2 linked regions of the Sus scrofa genome follow. The protein of the gene in region 1 binds, or shares a complex with, the protein of each later gene. Links are inferred from orthologs where the notes say so. Each region holds a gene or a part of one and is shown in the gene's direction. Other genes may lie near its edges.

Region 1 (6,858 bases):
GAACCCGTGTCTTCATGGATACTAGTCAGGTTTGTTAACCACTGAGCCACGATGGGAGCTCCAACCACAAATATCTGTGCAAAAAAAAAAAATGACAGCAGTATCCATGTGTGTGCTATATGTGTGTGATTTTCTTTTCTTCTCTCTCCTTTCTCTTTATTTTCTATTGTTAGCCTGTGTATAGTTTTGCTATATAGATGCATAGATCTATTTGTGCATGCACGTGGGCCTGTGTATTTGGCATTAGGCAGAGTTACATTGCAGGGGTTGCCATGGGGGATGTACTAAAGGCCTGTGTTGTGTCCGCCGCTGCCCAGGTCATCAAGAAGAAGCTAGTGGGCTCCGTGAAGGCGTTGCAGAAGCAGTACGTGTCCTCGGACACGGTGGTCACTAGCGAAGACGGAGATGCCAACAGCATGTGCAGCGCCCTGGAGGCCGTCTTCATCCATGGCCTGCACGCCAAGCACATCCGAGCCGAGGCTGGAGGCAAGAGGAAGAAAAGTGCCCACCAGAAGCCTCTGCCTCAGCCTGTCTTCTGGCCCCTCCTGAAAGCCATCACCCACAAGTGAGAGCTGCTGGGTGAGGGGGTTCGCATCAGGGGAGGAGCTTCAGAGTGTGGGACACTGGGCTTTTCCCTGCGTAGGAAAGTCTCGGAGAGCCCTGTGCCTGGAGTAGAGAGGGGCAAGGCGAAGTCATTGTTAGACCAGGCCTCAGTGAGGCCCTCAGGCAATGGTCCGGGGCAGCGCTGAGCCCCTGGGTCAGAGCAGGAGCCACCTTTTAACCACATGCTGGCCGAAAATCTTTACTGTCTGGCCCTTTTCAGAATTTTTCTGTGCCTTAGAATGTTTGCACACCTATGTGCTAAAGTATCATACTCATAACAAGGTATTGTTTTTGTTGTTGTTGCTTTTTAGGGCCACAGCATGTGGAAGTTCCCAGGCTAGGGGTCAAACTGGAGCTGCAGCTGCCAGCCTACACCACAGCCACAGCAACGTGGGATCTAAGACACATCTGAGACCTACACCACAGCTCATGGCAACGCCAGATCCCTGACCCACTGAATGAGGCTAGGGATTGAACTCACATCCTCATAGATACTAGTCGGGTTCTTAACCCACCGAGCCACAACAGGAACTCCTGTTGTTGTTTTAAGAAGAGTGGCATCCAGGTAGAGCCTCTCGATGTGCACCCTGAGACACTTGTCTTGCTGACCCTGAACCACTGGGGCTCGGGAGCAGGCGGCTGGCACTGTGCCTCCAATAGCTATTAAATGCCACCTTCTGCCCGAAGGTGCCTTGTCAGTCTCTAATCTTCCTTTCTGTGCCTACTGCCCTATCTCAAGTTCTTACCTCACTCCTGGGTGATAGTGCCTTTCTGATTGTCCCCTTTGTCTCCTTCTGTCCTTCCTTTGGTCAGTCAGCCAACATTTACTGAGCTCCTGCCAACCGGAGCTCAGTCACTGAGGATGCAGAGTGTGGTCCCACCCCCGTGGAGGAGGAGACGTTCACAGAGGACAGTGGCAGCCAGAGGAGGGGCATTTAGGCTGAGGCATTCAGGAGCCGAGTTCAGTACACACAGGGTGGGATCTTATCCAGAGCAGCCCACCCTGAAGTCTGCCTAGCTGGGGACAGGTTGCTTTCCTGAGCAGAAACCTGTAGTCCACAGGCTCCAAGTGCCAGTCTGGAGTCTGATTCACTTGATTGGGGCCCCAGCACCTGTATCCTGTCCTGGTTCCTGGGGTGATTCTGTTGCATAGCCAGGTGTGAGGGCATTGCCCCCCTTTGCTTCCCCTGTTTGATACTCAAGACCCTACATTACTTGGCTTTGCAACCAAATCGCCCGCTCCTTGTGCTGTAACTAGAGCGCTCCCCACTCCTGTTACAGTCCAATTGCTCGACTACTCTTTATGCCTTTTTCTCTGTCAGTCCCTTGTGCCTTAAAGGTTCTTTCTGTCTTTCCTTCCTTCCCTTCTTCCTTCCTTCCTTCCTTCCTTCCTTCCTTCCTTTCCCACACCCAAGGCATGCAGAAATTCTCAGGCCAGAGGTCAAACTCTCGCCGCACAAGTGACCAAACCAGATCCTTAACTCTCTGAGCCACCAGGAAACCCCTCTGCTTCCATCTTTGCCTCAAGGCCCAGCTGGGGTACTACCCTTTCTATGGCATTTGTCTTACTTCAACCCAGGAATAATGGCCCAGCCCAGCTGTACAAACAGCAGGGCTCACCTCAGTATACCCGTGAAAGGCGGTTACCTGGACTGAGCGTAGGGGCCATGTCTTTACCCTGTGTCTTCACAGCTCCAAGGACCTTGCCCTTTGGCACTCAGCAGACATGTCCTGGTTGAGCAGCTGATGTCAGGGGCCCAAGGGGTAGGTGCTATGAAAACGGCATTTATCCATCATGACCCCAGCCCTAAAAGTTAGGGGTTATAGCTTAATATTTCAAAATTCCCCTTAGACCTTGCTGTTATCCGAGAATTTTTTGTGCCTTTATGCATTTGTAGTCGTTGTTGGCTCTTGCTGTCTAGTGGATACAGTGGCATCTCAGTGCTTTGCAGGTGGGTTTTTTTTTTTTTTTTCTTTTTCTTTTAGGGTCGCACCCGCGGCATATGGAGGTTCCCAGGCTAGGGGTCGAATCGGAGCTATAGCTGCCAGCCTGCACCAATGTGGGATCTGAGCTGTGTCTGCAGTCTATACTGCAGCTTACCGCAGCACTGGATCCTTAACCCACTGAGCAAGGCCAGGGATCGAACCCACATCCTCATGGTTACTAGTCGGGTTCATTACCGCTGAGCCATGATGGGAACTCCTGAAGACGTTTCTTGAAACAGACCTGTTCTGTGCCTTCACAGACACATCATCTCAGAGTTGGAGCACCTGATCTTTGTCAGCACGGACGTGGGCCGCTGCCGGGCCTGGCTGCGGCTGGCCCTCAACGACGGCCTGATGGAGTGCTACCTGAAACTGCTCCTGCAGGAGCAGGCCCGGCTGTGCGAGTACTATCAGCCCACGGCCCTGCTCCGCGACGCCGAGGAGGGCGAGTTCCTCCTCAGCTTCCTGCAGGGACTGACATCTCTGTCCTTCGAGCTCTCCTACAAGTCCGCCATCCTAAACGAGTGGACGCTCACCCCTCTGGCCCTGTCTGGGCTCTGCCCGCTCTCAGAGCTCGACGCCCTCACGACCTCGGGTGCAGAACTGCAGCGGAAGGAGTCTCTGGATTCCATCTCCCACTCCTCGGGCTCAGAGGACATCGAGGTCCAGCACTCGGGCCATAAGATCCGACGGAACAGGAAGCTCACCGCCTCCTCCCTCAGCCTGGACACGGCCAGTTCTTCCCAGCTCTCTTGCAGCCTCAACTCTGACAGCTGCCTCCTCCAAGAGAACGGCTCCAAGAGTCCAGACCGCTCCGAGGAGCCCATGTCCTTCGACTCAGACCCAGGGACGGCCAATGCTGACGACTCAGACCCGTCTCTGCAAGAGTGAGTGCCCTGCCCCCGCCCTCCCGAGCTTCCTTCTTCTCTTCCTCCTGCCCTCCCTCCCTTCCTGGGGCATGCGATGATCTGTCACTGCCCTGAATTCCTGTTAGGGCATAAAGACAAGCTGCCAGGGACATTCCTTCGGGGAGGCTGGAATTGCTGGGAGCTGTATGTGGAGGCAAACTGGGGGCAGTGAGGAGAATGCATTTAGATGGGCTCAGAGGAGTTCCCGTCGTGGTGCAGTGGTTAATGAATCCAACTAGGAACCATGAGGTTGCGGATTTGATCCCTGCCCTTGCTCAGTGGGTTAAGGAAGGATCCAGCGTTGCCGTGAGCTGTGGTGTAGGTCGAGGACGTGGCTCGGATCCCCCGTTGCTGTGGCTCTGGCGTAGCCCGACGGCTACAGCTCTGATTGGACCCCTAGCCTGGGAACCTCCATATGCTGTGGGAGCGGCCCTAGAAAAAGGCAAAAAGACAAAAAATATATATATATATATTAATTAAAAAAAAAAAAATAAGGAAACAGGGCTCAGAGCTGGTCCCATCCCCGGCTCTGACCCGGTGACCTTGGACAAGTTATTTAATCTCTCCGAGAGTCAGTGTAAAGTATTATGGTCTTCATCTAGAGAAAAAGATACGAATTGTTCAGAGCTCTGTGTACAACTTCCAAAAAGTACAGTGACGCACATGCATAAGGGCAATCTTCTGGGACCTCGCAGGAGACCTTCTGGGGGACATAAAACCTGAATGATGCCTGAGGGGGTAGCAGACACATGGGGACAGGCAAGCCTGTGGAGGACGGAGGTGACTAGAGAAGGGGGCCTGTGCAGAGCCTTCCTTCAGGCCTAACATTCACCTTTGAATAGGTAATTTATTTTTATCGTTAAATGACCTAAAAATATATATAGTTAAAAAGTCTTTCCCACCCCTATAACCATAATTATTAATTTCTTGCATTGTACAAATTTAAATGCCTCTATAACAAATACGAATATACAGATTTCAATTTTTTCTTTCTTATTTCTTATTCCCCCATCTCTTTCCACAAAAGATGGTATGAGTTATAAATGCATTATTCTGCACTTTGGGAGGAGATCTTTTCATGTTAGATCTTCCTCCTTTTTTTTTTTTTTTCTTTAGTTTATTGAATCAGCTCTGAATTTAATGGACATTAGAATTCACTGTTTCTGTGAGTAACCTGTATATGTGGTCTTTTAGTTCAACTCAAGGCATCTCCGTTCAGTAAATTCCCAGAAGCAAAACTGCTGAGCCAAGGGATAAATTAACTTGTGGTTTTCACAGACATGCTTATTCACACCCATCAGAAGCTTATTATGTCCTCTCAGCCTTGTCAACAGAAGGTATTGATCAAACTTTGGGATATTTGCTCATCTAATAGGTAAAAATGGTAACCGTGTATTAAGCATTTCCTTCAGCAGGACCCCTGACCCATCAGCTGTGTCAGGACCCTCCTTCCACTCCTGCTGGTCCCCGCCCTTGCTCCCACCGTGTGTGGGAATCACACCAGGTTGGGTGTCATGAACTGGCCTTGGACAGATCTAGTTTCAAGCCGTATTTCATCAATTATAAGCCCAGGAATGTCCCACAGATTGCCAACTCTTTTTGAGCGTCTGTTTTTTCATTTTCATTTTATTTTATTTTATTTTTTATTTATTTATTTATTGTCTTTTTAGGGCCACACCTGAGGCCTATGGAGGTTTCCAGGCTAGGGGTCTAATCGGAGCTACAGCTGCCGGCCTATGCCAGAGCCATAGCAACGCCAGATCCACGCCGCATCTGCGACCTATACCACAGCTCAGGGCAACGCCAGATCCTTAACCCACTGAGCGAGGCCAGGGATTGAACCCGTAACCTCGTGGTTCCTAGTTGGATTCGTTTCCACCAGGCCATGATGAGAACTCCTGTTTCTTCATTTCTATAATGGAAATTCCCTCATAGGGCTGTTTGGAAATTGAATGAGATGCCGGTGAGTGAGTTGCACACCTAAGAGTGTCTGGTGGGCCCCAGAAATGTCCCCTGGGCACATTCGATAGAATTTTCAGTGTCAAAAAGGAGGGTTGGGATGTATCATGCTGGGAGAGAGCAGCCCCCGCCCCAGAGGTGGCGGGGCCCGTGGTATGCATGACTCAGTCCCCTGTGCTGGCCCCTGGTTGTGTCCCCCTCCTGCCACAGACCAGCTGGCCCGCTCTTTGTCATGTGCCTTGCCTTTCTCTTCCACAAGTCTTGTGATTGGAAAATTCCAGCTTAAGGTCATTGAATCAGTGACCATCCACCCCGCCTGGGAAGTGTTGTCCTGGGTATTATGGGGAAACGCAGGGGAAGAGGGTCAAGGTGCACAGACTGACGCTGACAGCGCTGTGAGGAACAGGAGGACACCTCACGCACACCTGCCCCAGCGCCCACCCAGCGCCATCATTCTTAGAGCTGGACAGCAAGTTAGCCTCTGAGCATCCCGAGACCAGCGTTTCTTGGAGTATGTGTTTTAAGGGTAAAGAGTCTCACCAACCCTTAAGAGGTCACCTAGGTTATTATGTTACTTTAATGTTTGTAACTTAAAATTAGGCATGAACACTTTGTGCTTATAGCTCTTACAAGTATAAAATCAAAACATCTGCAAATTAAACATGAAGAAAACTGCAAAACTCATAACATTCCAAATGAAATTTATTAGTGTTTTGCAGAAACCAAATTACAGTTTGCCTTGTGACGAAAGGATTGACTGCCCTGCCTCCCTGCTTCTGTGTTCATTGGGCCTGAATGATAATTATCACTGAGAAGCATAGGTACAGTCTAGTGGGAAAGAATGTGGCCTCAGGAGCCAGGCGGCCTGAGGCCTTCGGTAACCAGCTTTGCCACCTGGGGCCAGTAACTCAACCTTTGCGACTGTGACCATGATGGCCTCCTCTAGAACATGGGGATTAGCATGCTTCAAAGGAATGCTGGGGAGATGAAATGAGTTGAGATAGGGAGAGTGCTTGGAGCAGCCTCTGATGCCGTGTGCATGCTTGCCAGGCGGTGGTGTCATTTTACCACTGGGCACCTGTGACCTCCATTCTCCCGCTGCTGCAGAACCTTTGTCAGTCATATGTGTTAGAGGTCATTGTCATGAAGCCTTCCCTTGGGCAAAACGATTCCTAGCATATGCAGCCCACCTCTGTGCTTTTTCCTTTCCTTTTTTTTTTTCCTCTTGACGGCACCTGCGGCATGCTGAAGTTCCTAGGCCAGGGATCAAACCTGAGCCGCAACATGACAACACCAGATCCTTAACCTGCTGAGCCACAGGGGAACTCACTGCCTCTGAGCTTTTATTAGTGGCCTGATTGCCAAATAGTACTGCATGTCACCAACACGGTGATCCACATGA
Region 2 (7,385 bases), on another chromosome or scaffold:
GGCTCTTCATCAACAGAACGGTGAAAACAATAACTTTCACTTATGGTTGTTTTTTTTCTTTTTTGTCTTTTGTCTTTTTAGGGCCGTACCCTCAGCATATGGAGGTTCCCAGGCTAGGGGTCTAATTGGAGCCGTAGCCGCCGGCCTATGCCAGAGCCATAGCCACACCAGATCCCAGCCTATTTCTGCAACCATACCACAGCTCATGGCAACGCCACATCCTTAACCCACTGAGCAACCTCATGGTTCTTAGTTGGATTCGTTAACCACTGCTCCACGACGGGACCTCCTGCTTATGTTTTTTAAATGATTTTTATTTTTTCCCATTATAGCTGGTTTACAGTGTTCTGCCAATTTTCTACTGTATAGCAAGGTGACCCAGTCACACATACATATATACATTCTTTTTCTCATATTATCCTACATCCTGCTTCATCACAAGTAACTAGATATAATTCCCAGTGCTCTACAGCAGGATCTCATTGTTTATCCATTCCAAAGGCAATGGTTTGCATCTATTAACCCAATTCCCAGTCCATCCCACTCCCTCCCCCTCCGCCTTGGAACTTTTGCTTACTGAGTTGTATGTGCGAGCCATTATTCTAGATCTGTTTACATATGTTAACTAATTCATTTGATGCTCCCAGTTTCACAAGGTATGCGTTATTTTTGCTTTTATATACAAGGTAACAGAGAGAGGTATCAATTGGCACAATGTCACAAGGCTAGTAGGTGGTAGATTCAGAGTCCAGCTCCATGTGGTTTAAGTCCCAGAGCACACTTTTTGGATAACATTAAAATGTGAAATTGTGGAGTTCCCATTGTGGCTCAGTGGGTACATGATGAACATTGTGGTACATCAGTATCCACGAGGTTGGGGGTTCGATCCTTGGCCTTGTTCAGTGGGTTAAGGATCTCGTGTAGCCATGAACTGTGCTGTCAGTTGCAGACATGGCTCAGATCCTGCATTGCTGTGGCTGTGAGGTTGGTTGGCAGCTGCAGCTCCAATTCGACCCCTAGCCTGGGCACTTCCGTATGCTGTAGGCATGGCCCTAAAAAGAGGAAAAAAAGTAAAATCAATAAAGAACATAGCAGTTGCTTGGAATATAATCATTGTGGTGGGAAAATGAGTGCTAATGATAGAGACCCCTCTCTAGGTAGGATCATGTGATTCATTTTCCTCTGTGGAAGGTGGGTGAACCCTCAAAGGTGCCACTTTAAGTCTGAGAAAGCCAAGTGTAAGTGTATCTTTTCCACCTGTTTTCCCATCTGAGCTGGTGGAAATGAAGGCCTTTGAGGTGACAGAACCTGCAGGTGTAAAGCAGAGAATGCCCTTAAATTTCTCCTGGAACAGAGCCAAACAGGGAGCCTCCTACATGTACTGGACTGCGATGTGGATGAAAGTCAAACTCTTTATGTGTAGCTGTTACATTTAAGGGTATATTTCTTTTTTTTTTTTTTTTTTTTTTGTCTTTTTTGCTATTTCTTGGGCCGCTCCCACAGCATATGGAGGTTCCCAGGCTAGGGGTCGAATCGGAGCTGTAGCCGCCGGCCTACGCCAGAGCCACAGCCGCGTCTGCAACCTACACCACAGCTCACGGCAACGCCGGATCATTAACCCACTGAGCAAGGGCAGGGACCGAACCTGCAACCTCATGGTTCCTAGTCAGATTCATTAACCACTGCGCCACGACAGGAACTCCAAGGGTGTATTTCTTATTGCAGCATAGCATAGCCTGTCCTCACTACAGAACAATTAAATGGTAGTAATGATTACTTTTTTTTTTCAAAATATAAATAGCCACGAAAGGAAAATATCACAAAGTTAATATGAAATATGTAGGATTCTTTCTTCTTGAGCAATAAAAAAGAAATTTTGAGGAAGTGCCCCTTGTGGCTCAGCAAGTTAAGAACCCAACTAGTATCCATGAGGAGTTGGGTTCGATCCTCAGCCTTGCTCAATGGGTTAAGGATCCGGCGTTGCCATGAGCTGTGGTGTAGGTCGCAGACATGGCTCGGATCTGGCATTGCTGTGGCTGTGGCGTAGGCCAGGGGCTGTAGATCCGATTCGCACCCTGCTTAGGAACCTCCGTATGCTGCAGGTACAGCCCTAGAAAGCAAAATACATAAATATATGTATATCTCGAAGCCCAGAGCTCAAGAAATTGGTCACATGATAATGGGTAGAGACAGGAAGGAAGGAGAGGAGGTCAAAAAAGGGAAGAGGAAGGGGTCCCAGGGCCATCATGACCTGTGGAAAGTTGTGAGGCCCCCACTGCATTCTAGCACCTCAGGTCAGCGCCCCAACCTTCTCCACTGAGCCTCAGCATCAAAGATGGACCTCATCCATGGAGGTGTGGCCCTAGGAGCTAAAGGTCTTCTAAGAAACCAATCTAACTACTGAGGCCAAGTTCATGCTCCTCCCTGCAGACTCAAAGCCTCAGGGTGAACTCGGCAACTATTGTCCTAGCTTCGTAGGCAGGGGTAAAGGCAAGTTTTTTTTTTTAATAGGGAAGATTTTTCACTAGTTGTGTAAAAAACAGAGTAAACTACTGCTTTTCTTTCTGTCCCTCAGCAAACTGGAGAATGTTTGGTCACCTTCCCCTGTGTCATCATCACTACGCTGAAGACTTCTCAGTGTCCTGCATAGAAGGGAGCCAGGGATGACCAGTAAAGGTCATGGTACCTCCAGAGACAATCGAGCAGAAGCAAATGGTCCTTTTTATTCTCAGGACGTGATGGATCTGAATAACACGGAGGGACCGCCGAGCTCCTGGGTGTGAGGTAAGGAGGTGCTTGGCATCAAGTGGGAAACGGGGTCACTAAAACCGTCATTAAGGCGTTCCCCTCATGGCTCAGTGGAAGCGAATCGGACTAGCATGCATGAGGATGCAGGTTCCATCCCTGGCCTCCCTCAGTGGGTTAAGGATCTGGCGTTGCCGAGAGCTGTGGTGTAGGTCACAGACACTGCTCGGATCTGGCATTGCTGTGAGCTGTGGTGTAGGCTGGCAGCTGTAGCTCCGATTTGACCCCTAGCATCTGGGAACCTCTATATGCCGTGGGTTCGGCCCTAAAAAGACAATAAAGAAATACAGAAATATCCTGAGTTTGATAAAAAGTGTTCTACCCACATTCCTAGACCTGTAAAAAATGACCAAAATATGCTGGAAAGCTGCAGAGTATAACACTACTTTGATACATGCCTAGATTTTTTTTTTTTTTTTGTCCTTTTTAGGGCTGCATCTTTGGCATATGGAGGTTCCCAGGTTAGGGGTCTAATTGGAGCTATAGCTGCCAGCCTACACCACAGCCACAGCAACACCAGATCCGAGCAGCATCTGCGACCTACACCACAGCTCACGGCAACGCCAGATCCTTAACCCACTGAGGGAGGCCAGGGATAGAACCCGCAACCTTATGGTTTCTAGTCGGATTTGTTTCTGCTGCACCACAACTGGAACTCCCACACCTAGATTTTAACCCTAATTTTACCTCTTTATCTGGACAAGTTACTCAGCCTTTCTGGAATATTCTTTCTTTCTCTTGCTTTTTAGGGCTGCACCTGAGGTTCCCAGGCTGGGGGTTGAATTGGAGTTGTAGCTGCCAGCCTACACCACAGCCACAGCAACATGAGATCTGAGCCTTGTCTGCCACCTACACCACAGCTCACGACAACTCAGGATCCTTAACCCGCTGAGCGGGGCCAGGGGTTGAATCTGTGTCCTCATGGATGTTAGTTCGGGTTTGTTACCACTGAGCCACAACGGAAACTCCCTACATTGTAAATCTCAATTTCTTTAGCAAAGACAACATTTTAAACGGTAGTGAGCAAAGTGACTTTCTCTAACCAGCAAGCAGGTGGCTGTTTCATTTCCATTCTGAAAAATGACCCCCTCCTGCCCAGGAGGGGAGGGCTGGAGAAGGCTGATGTCACACAGTCCCACATAAAAGCGTCCTTTGGGCTCCCGCAGGCAGTTTGGAAACAGCTGGAGGAATGAGTTAGGTACTCTTTTTTTTTTTCTTTTTTTTCAATTCAGACACAGACACAGCTGTTGAGCAAAATGCAGACTCCCCAGAAAAGCCCAAGCCTCAGACCCTTCAAGCAGAGGAAGAGCTTAGGTAAAGTTCTCAGAGTATTTGTCTGGGTTTGGGCCCTCGAGACAGGGAAAGACGAGGACACGGACTTCTGCTCCAGGCTGATATGTTCATTTCATCTTACGTGTTCACAGCAACCAGAAGAGAGGAAGTGGCTGGAATCCGGATGAAGTTCCCTGGCAAGATCCCGGTAAGACTCCACTGTGGCTCCTCAGCCGGGCCTGTGATGTCCCCTTCTTTGAGAAAACAAAACCCGGAGCTGCTGTTGTGGCTCAGCAATCACGAGCCCAGCTGGTAACCATGAGGATGTGGGTTCGACCCCTGGCCTCACTCAGTGGCCCAGGGATGCCGCATTGCCGTGAGCTGTGGTGTAGGTTGTAGACGAGTCTTGGATCCCATGTGGCTATGGCTGTGGTGTAGGCCAGCAGCTGCAGCTCCGACTGGACCCCTAGCCTGGGAACTTCCATATGCTTCAAGTGCAGCCCTAAAAATCAAAAGAAAAAAAAGACAAGACCAAACCCAGGCAGTGACCCCCTTCTCTCTATTCCAAGTTTCTAAGACACGGAGACTGAGGCACATTCTTGGGCATTTGCTTCGGGAGAGATTCAGGTTGAAACTCTTGACAGGTGATAGTGGAGCGCTACCCCAGGGAGAAATTCCTGCCCCTGCTGGACAAGACCAAGTTCCTGGTCCCCCAGGAGCTGACCATGACCCAGTTCCTCAGCATCATCCGGTAGGTAACAAAGTGCATGCAGGGGCCGGGGGTGGAGGTGCGCCCTGTGGCCCTGGGCTTCTTGGAACAACGGGAGATGGGCTACAGCAGAGAGACAGGGAAGGATGTGGGTTTCACCTTTTCTCTTCAACTCTGCCTTTTAAAAGGATGATGTTGAGTTCCCGTTGTGGCTCAGAGGGTTAAGAACCTGACTAGTGTCCATGAGGTTGCAGGTTTGAACCCTGGCCTCATTCAGTGGGTTAAGGGTCTGGCGTTGCTATGGCTGTGGCGTAGGCCAGCAGCTGCAGCTCTGATTTGACACCTAGCCTGGGAACTTCCATGTGTCGCAGGTGCAGCCTTAAAAAGAAAAATAAAAAGGGATGATTTCATGAGTAAGCAGTCTTAAAAAGAAGGAAAGTACTTTGCTACAACCTTGTAAGAAGCGAGAACCCCCAATGTTGATACACTGGCTATTTTTTCTTTTGTTTCAACATTTTGCTGGTACTTTGTTTTCGTTTGTATCTTAAATTTCTCCAAGAATTTTTCAAAGGAATCTTTGGAACCTGATCCAAAGGCCTCTGTTTTCAGCTATTTTAAAAGCCCAATGACAGCTTTGTACCTCTAAATGGTTCCCCCTTTGTGGCAGGGAGGGAACTGGGGGGAGGAGTGTGCTGTCCACCTGCTGGAATCACTGAGCGGGAGAACCAGCCCCTCCCCACATCCCGCTTCCCCTGTTCCAAACGAGGGGAGGCCAAGTAAAGGAAACGCTGCTGACTTAAAAGATGCAGCGGAAACAAATCCGACTAGCAACCATGAGGATGCAGGTTCGATCCCTGGCCTCACTCAGTGGCTTAAGGATCTGGCATTGCCATGAACTGCAGTGTAGGTCGCAGACGCGGCTCAGATCCCACGTTGCTGTGGCTGTGGTGTAGGCTGGCAGCTGTAACTCTGATTCAACCCCTAGCCTGGGACCTTCCATATACTGTGGGTGTGGCCCTAAAAAACAAAAAAGAAAATAAAAATAAAGCTTAAGGGATTGAAGTTGTCACCTGCTATCTGAACTCTAAAAAAAAAAAAAAAAAAAAAAAAAAAAAAAAGAAACTAAAAAATAACTTACTTAGGGCTCCACAAATATGGCTTAGGTGGTGAGTCTCCCTGTGCTGGAAACAACCTCTCAAATTTTTTGGCTGATGCAGACAGTTTTTTGAGAGCATTTATTGTGATTTTTAAAATGAGCTTTGGGGGAGTGTCTGTCGTGGCTCAGTGGTTAACAAATCCAACTAGGAACCTTGACGTTTTGGGTTCGATCCCTGGCCTTGCTCAGCAGGTTAAGGATCCGGTGTTGCCATAAGCTGTGGTGTAGGTCACATACTCAGCTTGGATCCCACATTGCTGTGGCTCTGGCGTAGGCTGGTGGCTACAGCTCAGATTAGACCCCTAGCCTGGGAACCTCCATAGGTTGAGGGAGCAGCCCTAGAAAAGGCAAAAAGACAATAAAAACAAAACAAAAAGGCAAAAACAAACCATGAGCTTTGGGAGTTCCCATTGTGGCTCAGAGGTAATGAACCTGAGTAGTATCCATGAGGACATGGGTTCGATCCCTGGCCTCGCTCAGTGGAGTAAGGATATGGAGTTGCCGTGAGCTGTGGTGTAGGTCACAGATGTGGCTTAGATCCCAGCATAGCTGTGGCTGTGGTGTAGGCCAGAAGCTGTAGCTCCAACTCAACCCCTAGCCTGGGAACCTCCATATGCCTCGGGCGTGGCCCTAAAAAGACTCAAATAAAATGAAATAAGCTCTCTTAGGACACTCTGCATTCTTCTCAGACCAGCTACACGTGAGGTTAATCCATGGAAACAGGTGATGCGGAAAGGAAACCACAATCAGGTGTAGATCCCAACTCCCATCAGCCTCTAGGATGCTGGGGTACAGCAGTGGCTCCACCAAAAACTGAGTTTGGACCCCATTTCCCCCTTTTTTCTTACAAATCCCCCTCCACTTTCCATGCACTCCCTGTTCTTCATCCCAGTCATCTTGATCTTTCCATGAAGGCATTGAAACCTACTGATCTGAAGCACCCATTAGGTATCAGGCACTGTGGGTTTCCACACAGAGAACAATGACCGAAACAGACAAAACCTCCTGCCTTGAACATCTTCCAAACTGGGGACTCCTCAGCCTTTCATGCAGTGAGAGCCTGGTGGAAGAGGAAAGGAGATGGAGGTGCAGTTTGGGGACACAAGAGCCCCACCTTCAGCTCCACCCTTTCCGTGCAGAAGAGAAATTGCCCACCCCATGGGAGCAGTGTAACCGTCAGGGCTCAGTCTTTATCCAGTGTTGTTTAACCAGGTTCTGAAACAGTTTCCTCTCCCGCTCACCACATAGACTTAGCCGAGTTGGGAATGCACTGGCTGTGCCTCTCATGTTTGGGTGGAGGGTGGTGAGCCATCACCAACAGATTCAGCTTGCTCTGCTGTCAGAACAGTTCGGAACCCCTGTGAAGTCCAGCCAGACATGGCTGCACCTGCATCTTTAACCCCGGGAGAGGAATTTTAAACTTTTGTATAGTAATTCCCTTCC

What was found.
Region 2: the proteins of PLEKHM1 (region 1) and MAP1LC3C are in contact, whole or in part, in a crystal structure (PDB 5DPW), measured with the Homo sapiens proteins. The link is inferred for Sus scrofa from reciprocal best matches to the Homo sapiens genes PLEKHM1 and MAP1LC3C. Residues at the interface, in NP_055613.1 of Homo sapiens: Glu632, Asp633, Glu634, Trp635, Val636, Asn637, Val638, Gln639, Tyr640; in NP_001004343.1 of Homo sapiens: Phe13, Arg16, Lys17, Glu25, Ile29, Phe33, Lys36, Pro38, Asp54, Lys55, Thr56, Lys57, Phe58, Leu59, Val60, Pro61, Glu63, Leu64, Ile72, Arg76, Phe114.

What each region holds. Positions count from the first base shown.
Region 1 is NC_010454.4:17,993,095-17,999,952, forward strand, and holds part of PLEKHM1 (pleckstrin homology domain-containing family M member 1), read left to right. Parts: intron 1-317; coding exon 318-565; intron 566-2,849; coding exon 2,850-3,476; intron 3,477-6,858. UniProt on the Homo sapiens protein: Acts as a multivalent adapter protein that regulates Rab7-dependent and HOPS complex-dependent fusion events in the endolysosomal system and couples autophagic and the endocytic trafficking pathways.
Region 2 is NC_010452.4:15,368,906-15,376,290, forward strand, and holds the start of MAP1LC3C (microtubule-associated proteins 1A/1B light chain 3C), read left to right. Parts: upstream 1-2,276; 5' UTR 2,277-2,784; intron 2,785-3,721; exon of another isoform or gene 3,722-4,037; 5' UTR 4,038-4,061; coding exon 4,062-4,119; intron 4,120-4,229; coding exon 4,230-4,285; intron 4,286-4,721; coding exon 4,722-4,828; intron 4,829-7,385.